2 linked regions of the Arabidopsis thaliana genome follow. The protein of the gene in region 1 interacts with the protein of each later gene in a pairwise test. Each region holds a gene or a part of one and is shown on either strand. Other genes may lie near its edges.

The links. The genes of interacting proteins can lie anywhere in the genome.
Region 2: the proteins of AT1G14670 (region 1) and SKS2 interact in a protein complementation assay, tested with the Arabidopsis thaliana proteins (one large-scale study listed by BioGRID).

The regions. Positions count from the first base shown.
Region 1 is NC_003070.9:5,033,963-5,041,217, forward strand, and holds AT1G14670 (Endomembrane protein 70 protein family), read left to right. Parts: upstream 1-3,613; 5' UTR 3,614-3,706; coding exon 3,707-3,858; intron 3,859-4,137; coding exon 4,138-4,178; intron 4,179-4,286; coding exon 4,287-4,872; intron 4,873-4,948; coding exon 4,949-5,086; intron 5,087-5,196; coding exon 5,197-5,353; intron 5,354-5,448; coding exon 5,449-5,933; intron 5,934-6,017; coding exon 6,018-6,237; 3' UTR 6,238-6,635; downstream 6,636-7,255. Other genes in the region: NHX8 (Na+/H+ exchanger 8), read right to left, coding at 2-46, 183-367, 570-622, 755-799, 894-959, 1,036-1,088, 1,174-1,291, 1,371-1,472 and 5 more; AT1G14680 (early endosome antigen), read left to right, coding at 6,899-7,255.
Region 2 is NC_003076.8:20,907,424-20,914,678, forward strand, and holds SKS2 (SKU5 similar 2), read left to right. Parts: upstream 1-2,780; 5' UTR 2,781-3,009; coding exon 3,010-3,150; intron 3,151-3,353; coding exon 3,354-3,463; intron 3,464-3,556; coding exon 3,557-3,827; intron 3,828-3,921; coding exon 3,922-4,057; intron 4,058-4,238; coding exon 4,239-4,605; intron 4,606-4,692; coding exon 4,693-5,061; intron 5,062-5,152; coding exon 5,153-5,231; intron 5,232-5,335; coding exon 5,336-5,535; intron 5,536-5,624; coding exon 5,625-5,730; 3' UTR 5,731-6,124; downstream 6,125-7,255. Other genes in the region: AT5G51470 (Auxin-responsive GH3 family protein), read left to right, coding at 1-150, 291-392, 481-1,262, 1,343-1,917; AT5G51490 (Plant invertase/pectin methylesterase inhibitor superfamily), read right to left, coding at 6,257-6,954.

The DNA.
Region 1 (7,255 bases):
CCCTTGTTCCCGTATCTGAACTGAGATATGAATTTCCACTTGATTGCTGAATCATATGACCGAGAGCTATAGTATGTCAGAGAAAAGGAAATGGGAACATGAATATAAAAGATTTGAAAACAGATTTGAAATTAGTAGATATTGCTCTTGCATGAATGAAATGCCATTTCTTCAGAACTCACTTTTACAGATAGAGCGAGCGACAGCGAAACAGCACCCCTTAATCCAGACCACGTGAGTATGATGGATTCCTTCCAATCCAACCCATAGCCAGAACGGCATAGCAATGGGTACAAAACTCCAACAACAACACAGCGGGAAAGTTGGACATACAAGTATAAGAGGAAAAGGAAGCTCCACGAGTTTCCTGAAAAGAACGTTACGAGTAATGAATGGTCCTCTTAACCCCAATATATGTCAAAAAGAAAGCTACTGCGGTAATGGTATCAGGAATTAGCGATGTTATCCGTTAATCATGACGAATTCTAGGAGAAAACCTCCCTTTACATCTTCCAAGAACAAAATAAAAAAAAAATCCGGACGTAGAATAATAAATTGTGAAGAGACACCTTTGTAAGATATTGTCTGACCGCTAAGAACGCTTTCAGCGATAATAACTCCACTGCAATTCACAAGAGACACACATGCAATGATCTTGTATCAATCAGGTATCGGCTAAAACATCGTCTGCAGTATTTTGTTTGTAAAATAACCAGTAAATTTTTGTTTTCGAATCTTGCCAGACAGTTCGTACCTGAGCATAAAAACTAGTGTATTTGCAATGTAAGCGGCCATTTCCCTACAAAAGTTATAGGGCAATCATAAAAATATAATATATACATGTAAAGATTTCCTTTGATTTGACGAAAAAAGAACACTGAGTTGTGAAATACCAGAAGTGATGCAGACTCTGGTGACTGTCCCCCTTAAAAGCTGTCCTTGCAAATGCAGCGAAAAACCTATTACAATTATGTTATGAACAATGGCTTTTTGACACATAACAACAGAAAGAAGGGATAATTTACCACGACTTACATCCCCAAAATCATGACAGTCAAAATTCCAGAAACCCCAGCCCACTCTTGAGCCTGTACATAGTAGAAATTTCTTAGGTTTCCTAGAGATTTAAGATTCTCCATTGGGGACTAAGTTATGTAGAAGAGAAGAGCATACAGTGTAATAGGCGAAATAGCTCGCTGAAAGTGTTACAGTGATCTGAGCCACCGTGTCATTGAATATGAATTTAAGCCAAAAAACTGATGCAATTCCAAAAGCTAGACCAATGCCTACACTAAAAAACCAGAACAACATAAGCGGAGAAAAGAAGACAGCGACATACAATACTACTAACAAAGGAAAATAATCCATACGCTCCGAATGAGTTTTGGACAAGAAATTTGATTATGGAACCCCAATCAGAGTTATGCCCCATCACCATCTTGAAGAATAATTGAAAAACCACAACCGATACCCTGAATAATCCAAACAACTAAGCTTGATCATATATGACATAACATCACCTTGATGCTAAACATAAGAGTTTGACATGGTTACCCATCGTTCATGAGAGATTCCCCATCAATTAACGTGGTCATCTTCTTACTAGCACCAAGCTCCTTTAGCAAAGCAACAACAGCCACGGGGTCGGTAGCTCCTAAAAGTCCTCCAAGCAACAATGATGTTTTCCAGTCCCAGTTATATGGAAAAGTAAGCTACAAGAGCATAACTCGAAAAAATTGTTAAGTTAATTGAAGCTCACTTAATCACAGTCGAAAATGTTGAAGCTAGTTAAAGTACCTTTATAAGAGCTCCGAGACAAAAGGTGGAAATCAGAACTCCAGGTCCAGCAAGCAGAACCATTTGTCCCATACATCTCTACCAATGATGTAAAACAATCAATACCAGGAACCAACACAGCCAAGGAAGTAGCTCAATCAGGAAAGTAAAAACCTTGATCTGGTGCACATCCATGGAGAATGAGCTCTCGAAAAGAAGAACAGGGAGAAAAACAGCCAAAAGTAGGTCAGGGTTGATACCATTCCCTGTAAAGTTGCCATTTTTTAGAGCTCGTAATCTAACAGTATGGAGAAGAGAAAATACAGTAGCTTACAGATACGAATTCCATGGCCGAGCTTCCCAAGGTTATGCTTAGTTCCATATTCTACAGAAGCAAAAAAATCCAAAATTTAACTACTTTCTAAAATCTTCCACGAAATTGAAACTGAGCTATAAAGCTTAATGAGCAAACAAATAAGACCTAGGGATCCGAGAAAAATGCCGATGACGAGAAGAACGACGGTGTACGGAACTCTAGTGCCGTTAAACAAATATCTACAAGCGGTGCCGAGAACCAGCGAAGTTCCCGCGAAAATAACAGCATCAACAGGACTCGAATCGTTCTCAGCTGAATACGAAGAAGATGCAATTGCTTTCTCCGGTGATTTGTACGGCAACGCCGCGCCGATTATACTCGTCATCTCCGGTAGAAAGAAGCAAACGATCAATCTTTCGTTTTGCCAGTGATTACGGTCAAAGATGCTTTTACCGAACCGAATCTGCTTCGTTTAAGAGTGAACCAAGATTGAATCTAGTCTGGTTTGGCTTGACCTGTTTTATTTCGGTTACGTCTGGTTTTCTATCACTAATTTGAACGAAAATTTGAGAAATCTTAATACGTTTTTGATTAGGTTTCTGTTTTCTTTGCTAGATATGAATGTAGTTACTGGATTATACTACTCTGTTCAAATGAAGGGTACATATATTTACATGAACCAAATTATGAAATAACAAAACCGACTCACTCTAGTCTCTAAACTTAACTAGTGTCACTTTTGTTTGTTTGTTTTGATCCATACTTCAATGTATCTTGTTCAAATTGTTTGATTTTATTTTTGGTATAAGTGGCTACATTGTAATTTCTTGCTGATTCAATCTATAAATCGAAAACCTTAAATTATCCATGCCTCAAAACGATGCACGTTGTGTATAAATGAGAATTTTAAATTGTTTAGTTTCTATAATTGCTGTCATGACGTGAGATCATGCAAAGCAATTACGTACGATAACGCACGTAAAGGAAAAATGATTATCAGATTCATATATTTTTTTTTTCAAAAACTTGGTCTCGTGTAACATCATTCGTCATTCTTCATATTCACTATACTATAACCACAAAAGATATTAAAAAAATAGTCACTCCACTCCACATCTAATACAAAGAAGTAATAATTTAACTATTCAAAATTTATGAAGTGTTAATACGATAAGATTTTCGACCCAAGGAAAAAAAACACTATAAGATACATAGGTTTGGCAGAACAATTAGTTCGCTCACTGCCTACATATTCTTTTTTTGGTTTAATTAGCCTACATATGGGAAAATGATTTGTATTTTGTTAAATGCCACTCACATTTGTTATAAATAATTAGTCTTGGTTTCAAAAGCCATATATTTATGAATTTATAGACATTGATATTTATTTTTATGGTTGGAAATGGTATAAAGTATTATTGACTATAGTTTTTTTATGTATTTTTCTTATGAAATAAAGTGAGAAAATAATAAAAATATTAAAATTTGTGTAGCTGACTCGAGTTTGATTGAAGTCTTTGGTATATAAATATTGTCGTTATTTCCTCCATTTTTCTCCCTCTTCTCCCAAATAAAAAAAGTTACTCAGATCTCACGATTTGAGCAGAATACGCAATGAGGACACCGACGACGATTCTCCTTCTTGTCGGAGCTATCCTCTTCTCCGGCGCCGGCTATGTCAGATCCGACGCCTCCGACCACCGTTACAAGGAAGGAGACACCGTTCCTCTCTACGCCAACAAGGTCGGCCCATTTCACAATCCAAGGTAAACGGAAACATCTATTCTAGATCTGAGCTTCAGATCTGAGGTTGTTTCCCATTCTTAAGCCTGAGGATGATAAATTGATCGTTTATTGTTGAATCTGTTGCTATTGAATTGAGTAACGACATTGATAACTGAGTACACTGCAAAATGCGTAATGTTAAAACCAAAGAGTGAAAGAAGAAACTACATTTGGAATGTTTTTCGTTTATGTGATGGATCTGTCTTAGATTTGAATACTATTATATGACTGATTTTGGTTTTGTTCAATGATGATTGCAGTGAGACGTATCGATATTTTGATCTTCCCTTCTGTATCCCAGGTATGCTTATATCTTTACTAGCTTAATCACACGATTTGTGTTTAAGCCGCAACTGATTTGTGTGACATCTCCTGATTCGATCATCCCATTATTGAATATGGTTTATAGAGGGTGTGAAAGAGAAGAAGGAAGCTCTTGGCGAGGTTCTAAACGGGGATCGGCTAGTTAGCGCTCCATACAAGCTCAACTTCAGAGATGAAAAAGAGTCTGAGGTATACTGCAACAAGAAGTTGAGTAAAGAAGAGGTCAAACAGTTCAGAAAAGCTGTTGAGAAGGACTACTACTTCCAGATGTACTATGATGATCTACCTATCTGGGGATTCATTGGAAAGGTTGACAAGGATATCAAATCTGATCCGAGTGAATTCAAATATTTCTTGTACAAGCACATTCAGTTTGAGATTCTATACAATAAGGACCGTGTGATCGAGATCAGTGCTAGAATGGATCCTCATTCGCTTGTGGATCTCACTGAGGATAAGGAAGTTGATGCAGAGTTTATGTACACTGTGAAGTGGAAGGAAACTGAGACTCCTTTTGAGAAAAGAATGGAGAAGTACTCTATGTCTTCTTCTCTTCCACATCATTTGGAAATCCACTGGTTCTCCATTATTAACTCCTGTGTCACTGTCCTTCTTTTGACTGGATTCCTTGCAACTATCTTGATGCGAGTCCTCAAGAACGATTTCATGAAGTAAGTTTCAAGTTTCCTCACTGTCGACTGTTTTACACTTGTCTATCTCATCTAACCTTATTCCAATGCTTAAAAGGTATGCTCAAGATGAGGAAGCTGCTGATGATCAAGAGGAAACTGGATGGAAGTACATTCATGGCGATGTGTTTCGGTTCCCTACTCACAATTCTTTATTTGCTGCATCGCTCGGTAGTGGCACTCAATTGTTCACGCTGTAAGTCTCTCATAACTCGAATACTTTCCATCTGGATACACTTTCATCCATATCCGCATTTCTTCTTACTGTAACTAACTGTAGCTTTTCCTTTTATTCCATGTCATCAGCACCATATTTATTTTCATGCTTGCTCTTGTTGGAGTGTTCTACCCATACAACCGAGGAGCACTCTTTACCGCTTTGGTGGTCATTTACGCTCTCACTTCTGGAATTGCCGGATACACATCTGCCTCTTTCTACTGTCAACTTGAAGGAAAAAGCTGGGTAAATATTTACACATGATGAGAATCATCCCTGTCTCTCAAAAAATCATCTTCAACTGAAATAAACAACTTCTCCCTTTTTTGACATTATTGCAGGTGAGGAACTTGTTACTCACTGGATGTCTCTTCTGTGGCCCATTATTCCTAACCTTTTGCTTCCTTAACACCGTAGCCATCACCTACACTGCAACCGCTGCATTACCCTTTGGAACCATTGTGGTGATCGTCCTTATATGGACTCTAGTTACCTCACCTTTACTCGTTTTGGGTGGTATCGCGGGTAAAAACAGCAAAGCAGAGTTCCAAGCACCATGCCGTACAACCAAATATCCTCGTGAGATTCCACCACTCCCTTGGTACAGAAGTGCTATTCCTCAGATGGCCATGGCTGGTTTTCTTCCTTTCAGTGCCATCTACATCGAGCTTTACTACATTTTCGCTAGTGTCTGGGGTCACCGGATCTACACCATCTACAGCATCTTATTCATCGTTTTCATCATTCTCATCATCGTCACTGCTTTTATAACCGTTGCCTTGACTTACTTCCAACTCGCTGCTGAAGATCACCAATGGTGGTGGAGGTTCGTTAAACTCAGCTAATCGTCTCTATTCTTTTCTCTCTGACCATGAGAACTTGAGTCTGATTCTACAAATTTCTATTGCAGATCATTCCTATGTGGTGGATCGACCGGTTTGTTTATCTACGCATACTGCTTATACTATTACTACGCACGATCAGACATGTCGGGTTTTATGCAAACCTCGTTTTTCTTCGGATACATGGCTTGCATTTGCTACGGATTCTTCTTAATGCTCGGAACAGTTGGCTTCCGCGCAGCCCTCCTCTTTGTCCGTCACATTTACCGGTCGATCAAATGCGAGTAAGAAGGTCTGTACACCAATCTTCTTATGTTGATTTCCTTCTTCTTCTTCTGCCTTCTTACGAATTTTGCTTAGAACAAAGAAGATAAAGAGATAGGTTGTTAGAAAGAAGAGAGACACAAAGACAATGTCTGATTATTTTCTAAAGAAGCATCTCTTCTCATTAGAGGTTTTAGCGAGAGTCTCTCTTCTTCTCTCTTTATTTTGGGCTACAGAAATTAAATTACTTGTATCCTTTCTATATATTTTACCTATTGTAAAAGACTATCAATACCTTTGAATTCGAGTTTCTTTGTATCTAATAAATTTCAAAACACACATATTTTCTCCTTCATATATATCTTCAGTCTATACTGCACAATAAAAATAATAATTTGAAGATGTAACTAAATAAATATTGGAGAGCTAAATTGAAGTAAATTGCATATTTTTGTACTTGTTTGGATCCAATTGAAAGATCCAAGGTTGATACCACCGACATACAAGGACATAGTGTTAGCTCTTTAATGGGCCAAAATCTCGGCCCAACTATAAATGGTTTCATTGACCAATAATTAGTGCCACTGATTTCAATTTTGAAATTCGAATCCTCCTCCTTTGGAATTCAGAAACCCTAGAGTTCTTCAGCGAGCGAACTCTGTCTGCGATTTCTTGTTGATTCTAAATGGATCTCTCGCGAGAAGTCGATGACTTTATCAAAGAGACAATCGATCACTCTTTAGGGCTTCCGATATCCATGGACGTTCTCCAGAAAAAGCTCTACACGGCGGAAGAATCTCAGCGTCGTCTCCGTGAACAGTATCTATCTCTGGTTTCGAGATTGAAAGAGAAAGAAAAAGTAATCGATCTCGTTAGATCCGAAGCGAGTATGAATGCCCAGTCGCTGAAGAAATTCGTCGAAGAGAATCAGAAATTGGGAAGCGAGCGCGAGGATTTGGTGAATCAGTGTAAGAAGTGGGAAAAAGAATGCTTTCTTTATCATCAAGATCGTGAATCACTCATGGAGTTCGGGAACGAAACT
Region 2 (7,255 bases), on another chromosome or scaffold:
TTTTCTCCATGGGAGCTCTAGTAAAGAGCTTTTCAAGAAGAACGTCCCTGTGGTGACCTACGAGGATGTGAAGCCTTTTATCGATCGTGTCACGAATGGAGAGCCCTCTGATATTATCTCTGGCAACCCCATTACCGGATTCCTTCTAAGGTATATACTTTTCATTTCCTGGCTTTTTTCTTCTTTTCAAAAATTGTATTAGAGCAACTTTATCATTGGTTATTATACAATCAATGTGAGTGATGTTAGAAACTCTAGAGATAATGTGCTCTAATGGTTTTTCACTGTAGTTCTGGAACATCCGGAGGAAAACAGAAGATGTTTCCTCGTAACAACAAGTACTTGGAAAACATAAAATTCATCTTTTATTACCGATCGCTCGTTATAAGCAAGTAATGATGATAACACAACATATTCTTTTAATAAAACATTTTTATATTTGTAGATTATTGATGAAAGTCTCTTTTGGTGTCATGATAGGCATATAGATGGTCTTGAACATGGAAAGGGAATGGTATTTAACTTTTGTACATCAGAGAACACAACTCCTTCTGGTTTGCCATCATCAGCTGCATCGACGAGCTTCTTCAAGAGTGATTATTTCAAGAACCGACCATCGTATTGGCATTGGTCTTACACAAGCCCTGACGAAGTCATATTGTGTTCAGACACCAAGCAGACTTTGTACTGTCATCTTCTATGCGGTCTTGTTCAAAGAGACGATGTTGTGAAGGTTGGTGCCGCCTTTGTTACTATTTTGGTCCGAGCAATAAATCTTCTTGAGAATTCTTGGAAGGAAATTTGCACTAATATCCGTTTTGGTCATCTTAGTGAGTGGATCACTGATATTAGTTGTAGAGACTCCGTTTCAAAGATTCTTGGAGAGCCTAATCCTGAATTGGCTGATCTCATAGAAAATGAATGCAACAATAAATCATGGGAAGGTATAGTTCCAAGACTTTGGCCTAAAGCCAAATTCATAGAATGCATTGCAACCGGTCAAATGGCTCAACACATCCCAACATTGGAGTTTTACTCTAACAAGTTGCCATCGATTTCCTCGAGTTACGTATCTTCTGAAACTATGTTTGGTATTAATATGAGTCCTCTTTGCAAACCAGAAAATGTATCATACACATTTCTGCCCAACTTGTCATATTTTGAGTTCCTACTTGTTGATGCCGGTGACAAAACCGAAATTGTTGATCTCGTGGATGTCAAGTTAGGGTGCTATTACGAGCCCTTGGTCACAAATCATTCCGGTGAGTACTTAGGAAAAATTATTGATATATATACATACACTCGACTAATCGATTAATTATATTGTTTTTGTTTTTGCTAGGCCTACACAGATATAAGATGGGTGATATTTTACTGGTGACTGGATTTTATAATAATGCACCTCAATTTAGATTTGTGCGTAGAGGAAATCTGACTCTAAGTATTCATTTGGAGATAACTACAGATGAAGACCTTTTAAACGCGGTCACAGACGCAAAGATGGTTCTTGAATCATCAAATTTGATGTTGATGGACTTCACAAGCTATGCGGATATTTCTACTACTCCGGGTCATTATGTTCTTTATTGGGAGCTCAAAGCAAAATACCGCAACGACATTGTTGAAATCGATAAGAATGTTTTGGTAGAATGTTGCTATGTGGTGGAAGAATCATTGAACAATTCTTATAGAGTATATAGGAGTAAAGGTGGATTAATTGGAGCTTTGGAGATAAGATTGGTGCAGCAAGGAACTTTTGATGCTCTCATGGAGTTTTTCATCACTCAAGGTGCTTCTTCAACTCAATACAAGACACCTATTTGCATCAAATCTACTGAGGCCTTGGTGATTTTAGAAGAAAATGTCCATGCTTGTTTCTTTACTGATAAGTCCCTTTCTTTGAACTTTTCGTCATAATCTCTATATTATGTAGGCATTGAAATAAAAGCTCGTGGTAAACAACATGAAACGAGATCAAACGCATGCCCTTGAAACTCATTTTTTAAGTGTATCTCTTATTATTATTTTATTTTTATGTAAGTGTATCACTGTTGACACATAACATTTCAAATGCCAATGTAAAAGCAACGACTAAGGAAGAGTCTTGTGCATGCAATATGAAAATGAGAAATCGAAAAGGTTAACATTATATTGTTGGCAAAATAAACGAGACCTTGAATTATGTTCATTATTTACGTATCATACATAAGCTTAAAATTATGTTCATGAGACCTTGAATTATGTTCATTATGTACGTACATAAGCTTATGAACATAATTCAAGGTCTCATTAAGCTCATTAGCTGTCAACATTATGTACGTACATTATGTTAGTTCTTAAAATAATCAAATCAAACTATTCTAGGATATAAAATGAACATAATTTGAAGAAGAAACACTAATTAACTGTCTACAGTCTACACACATTTATAACGCAATTAGATCCCAAACAAAAGCATACCACACACGTATCTACCAAAATTATCAATAAAATCACATCTTTATAGAAATGGAAGTTTCCTTAAATAAGAATTTACACATCGTTAATGGAATGTAATCAGTAGAAATAGAAAGAAACAATAATAAGAAATCAATGAGAATCATTGGCGTAATTGTGTCAGTATCTAATGCACATCCACTTATATATAGACACATATTTTTAACTTTATTACAAATTAATTACAATTTAGACGAACCGGTTAATTCGGTAACCAGTAATACTAACGCGTTTAGGGATTAGTATCAACAGCAAAATCTGTGTCACTAAATTAATAAATAAATAGAGAATATAAATTCCTCATTTTGGTTTCTTCTTCAACCTCTTTGTCAGAGAAGTTTCAAAAAACCCACACACACACTTTACACACTCTTCATCTTCTTCTTCTTCCTCTTCGTCTTCTTCTTCATCATCGTTTTCGATTTGTTGCTCCGATAATGTCGTTCCTATAACCCGAAGATCATCAACGAAGAAAGCGAAAAAAACCTCAAAAAATCACTGAGATTATTACAAATGGCGGCTACTGATTTTTTCTTCGCTTTCGTCTTCTCTTTCGCTCTTATCTTCGGCTTCTCTTTCGCTGGTGATCCTTACGTCTCTTACGATTTCACCCTCTCCTACATCACTGCTTCTCCTCTCGGTGTTCCTCAACAGGTTTCGTTTCGCTTCCATTTTTTTCCCTCTTAAAACCCTATTTTTTCCTTCGAAATTGAGGTTTTGAAACGTTAATCTAGTGATTTTGTCTCCTTGATTTTGCTAATAACGTAGTTGTTGCTCTAGATCTAACATTACGATTAACTCGTCGGAGGTGGTTTCAAAGTTTGAGCTTATCAGATTGGATTTTGTTTCGTGTGTAGGTTATAGCAGTCAATGGGAAATTTCCAGGTCCTGTGATTAACGCTACGACAAACTACAATGTTCATGTTAACGTACTCAATCATTTGGATGAGCCTCTTTTACTTACTTGGTGATGATCCATCTCTTAACATTCTCATAATCACTTGTGGCTGCTTCTTAGGATTTGTTGTTGTGATTCCTGACATTGTGTTTATTTGGATAGGCCTGGTGTTCAGATGAGGCGTAACTCGTGGCAAGACGGTGTTCTTGGAACAAACTGTCCAATTCCACCGAATTGGAACTTCACTTATGATTTTCAGTTGAAAGATCAGATTGGAAGTTATTTCTACTCTCCTTCACTTAACTTTCAGAGAGCCTCTGGTGGTTTTGGTGCACTCATAATCAATAACAGAGACCTTGTTCCTATTCCGTTCACTGAGCCTGATGGTGAAATCATCTTTATTATTGGTGATTGGTATACTCAGAACCATACAGTAAGTGCAGTTTTGGTGTCTAGATGGTGTTTAGTGATGACTTTTGGTTCTGAGTGTTATGTTTTTATATTTGTGAAACTCTGTTTTCTTTCAGGCTTTAAGGAGGATACTTGACTCTGGTAAAGAACTTGGGATGCCCGATGGAGTACTCATCAATGGGAAAGGTCCTTTCAAGTACAATAGCAGTGTACCTGATGGAATTGAACATGAAACCGTTAATGTTGATCCAGGTAACATTTTTAGAGTTGTATTTTAACTTTGCTTTCATTCTGTTTCCATTTGCATTTGGTTGTGGAATTGTGTGCATTGGATCTCCAGTTTCAGTTTTTTTTGTTGCTGTCATTGCTTTGCAAATCAAAGTTGGCTTTGATATTTCTTCCCTCTTACTTCATTCTGAGTTACATTTTACAGGGAAAACATACAGGATCCGTGTTCACAATGTTGGTATCTCGACAAGCTTGAACTTCAGGATTCAGAACCACAAATTGCTCTTGATTGAGACTGAGGGTCGCTACACCTCCCAAATGAACTTCACCGATTTTGATGTTCATGTGGGACAGTCTTATTCTTTCCTGGTAACCATGGACCAAAACGCCACAAGTGACTACTACATTGTGGCGAGTGCTAGATTTGTTAATGAAACAGTGTGGCAAAGAGTCACAGGTGTTGGCATTCTCCATTATTCCAATTCCAAAGGACCTGCTTCTGGTCCTTTGCCAGTTTCAGCAACTGATGTTAATCACCCTTGGTCTGCAATGAACCAACCGAGAGCCATAAAGTATGTCTAGAAAACTGTTCAAGCAAATGAATGTTTCACATAAACCTGTAGCCATGTAAATGTGATCCTGATTCTTTTCATATGCAGGCAAAACACATCTGCAAGTGGAGCTCGTCCAAATCCGCAGGGATCATTTCACTACGGACAGATCAACATTACAAGAACATACATCTTGAGGAGTTTGCCTCCAACAAAAATCAATGGGAAACTTCGTGCTACACTTAATGGAATTTCATTTGTCAATCCAAGCACCCCCATGAGGCTTGCGGATGACCATAAAGTGAAAGGAGATTATATGTTAGATTTTCCAGACAGACCACTTGATGAAAAACTTCCACGTTTGTCCAGCTCTATCATCAACGCAACATACAAGGGCTTTATACAAGTTATCTTCCAGAACAATGACACCAAAATCCAGAGCTTCCATATTGATGGATATGCATTTTACGTGGTTGCGTAAGTAAATCATGCCACTCTTGGGTACATTTATTACATTTTCGATCAGTTTAACTGGTCTAACGAGGATTTTCAAATTTTGGTATTCCAGGATGGACTTTGGTATATGGTCAGAAGACAGAAACAGTTCTTATAACAACTGGGATGCAGTAGCACGAAGCACGGTGGAGGTAAACTCTCATTTGCAATCGGTCTCTGTACACCATTTGAAGTGATAATATTGGTCAGCAGGTTTACTTTATTGGGTACTTTTTTGTTTTAACGTTTGCTTCAGGTCTATCCAGGAGCATGGACTGCTGTACTTATTTCTCTCGATAATGTTGGAGTTTGGAATATCCGGGTTGAGAATCTTGACAGATGGTATCTTGGCCAAGAAACATACATGCGAATTATAAACCCTGAGGAAAACGGAAGTACGGAAATGGATCCGCCTGAAAATGTTATGTATTGTGGTGCTCTTCAGGCCATGCAAAAGTAAGGATCAGAAACTTTACTCTCTGCTTCTCTAATTTAACCTTTATGTAAAACAAACTAAGAAACTCTTATTTGCTGTTTTCCTCCAGGGAACAACATCACAGCTCGGCCACAAAATCAATGACAAATGGACAGTTGATACTAATTTTCAGCATGATGATGGTTTTGCTCTCCTCGTTTTCGTCCTTTTGCTGAGTCTGTTCCATCATTTACGAATCTACTCTGGTTTGGTATTCTGATCTCCCATTAGGGCTGTAGATGGAGAATGTATAACTACAAACAGCAGTTGGGTTCGTTCTGTTTCTCTCATATTTCATTGATTGTTAGGTACTCATATCTTCTATCCTCATGATTCTAAACAACGTTAGTTCGTGAGGGTTTGTGTTTAGAGCTTTGTTCTTCGTAGTTCTAGGTCATTTGGAGTTCAAAACTTTGGCAACGACTGTAACTAAAGTTCTCATTTGTGGGTCTTCTACATTAATTTCTACTATTATCCTCGTTTCTGGATATTCAATATGCAATGCTACTTCTGTTTGGGACAATTATTAGGACATGTAACATTCGAAAATTCGTTTCGATCATGTTTTTGCAGTGGTACTGAAATCTCGTTCTTCCATCTATAGCTAAAACTTCAGTTTCATAATAGGCATAATGAGTTATATATTCAAAAGTATAAAATTTATATCATTGCAACTTAAACACGAAAAACCAAAGACGGTCTTTAGAGTCCAGAAGTGAAGGGTATGCCGGTGCGTGGGAGCCATGCTGTACCAGCGATAAACTTTCCAACAGTGAAAGCAGATGCATCGGAAGCTCTACCCAACACATGAAACCCTTTCCAACTGACACGCCACCTCGTGGATGAAGCTGGTCCAGTATTCTTATATTCTGCATAGAAGAGAGTGTCCAGACCAAACACCGAACCTTCAATCCACGGAGACCACCCGACTGGACTCACAACATTATCCAAATACGTCTGAAGAACCACGGTTCGTGAGAACTTCATCCAAGGCCGGCCCATGTACGTCTTAACGGTACCGACCACTGGTTTTAGATCAGGAGCCGGTAGGATTCTTGAGTTATGGATAGAGATCCCTGTGTTCTGAAACGGATCAGCACGACCTTGTGCGGTAATTACATTGGCTTGACCTTTGAGTGGCCGGCGAGGGAGGATGAGACAGTTTTGGAAAACAGCAGCCGCGTTACCGAATATGAAATCGACGGTTCCATAGATGTAACACTCACGGTAAAACTGGCGTTGAGAATGGACCATCAGTGTATCTTGGTATCCTTCGATTGAGCATTTGTAGAAGATTGAGAGGTCAGACGATGAACGAAGTGCCACGGCCTGGCCCTTGGCTGGACCAGCTGTGTTCCTAAACGTTATGCCTTTGGCAATGAAGTGAAGTCCCTCGATACCTGGACCACATGCAATTTAGCCAATTGTTTCATAATGAGAGAAAATGAAATATGGTAACGCTTACACATTTTGCGGGGAAAAAAAACAAAAAAAAACAACGGTTACGTTTAAATCTTTTTTTTAAAAGTAGTGGTAATTGATTACGATCCCAATGTATGATTTAACTTGGACGTCTCCACCATGTATGTTATCTATTGGAAAACTCAAATCGTACGGAATATTCGAATACTTTTCATTAATGACATAGAAACTTGTTAGATCCAATCTACTAACTAGAAATTAATAAAAAAAAAATGAAAT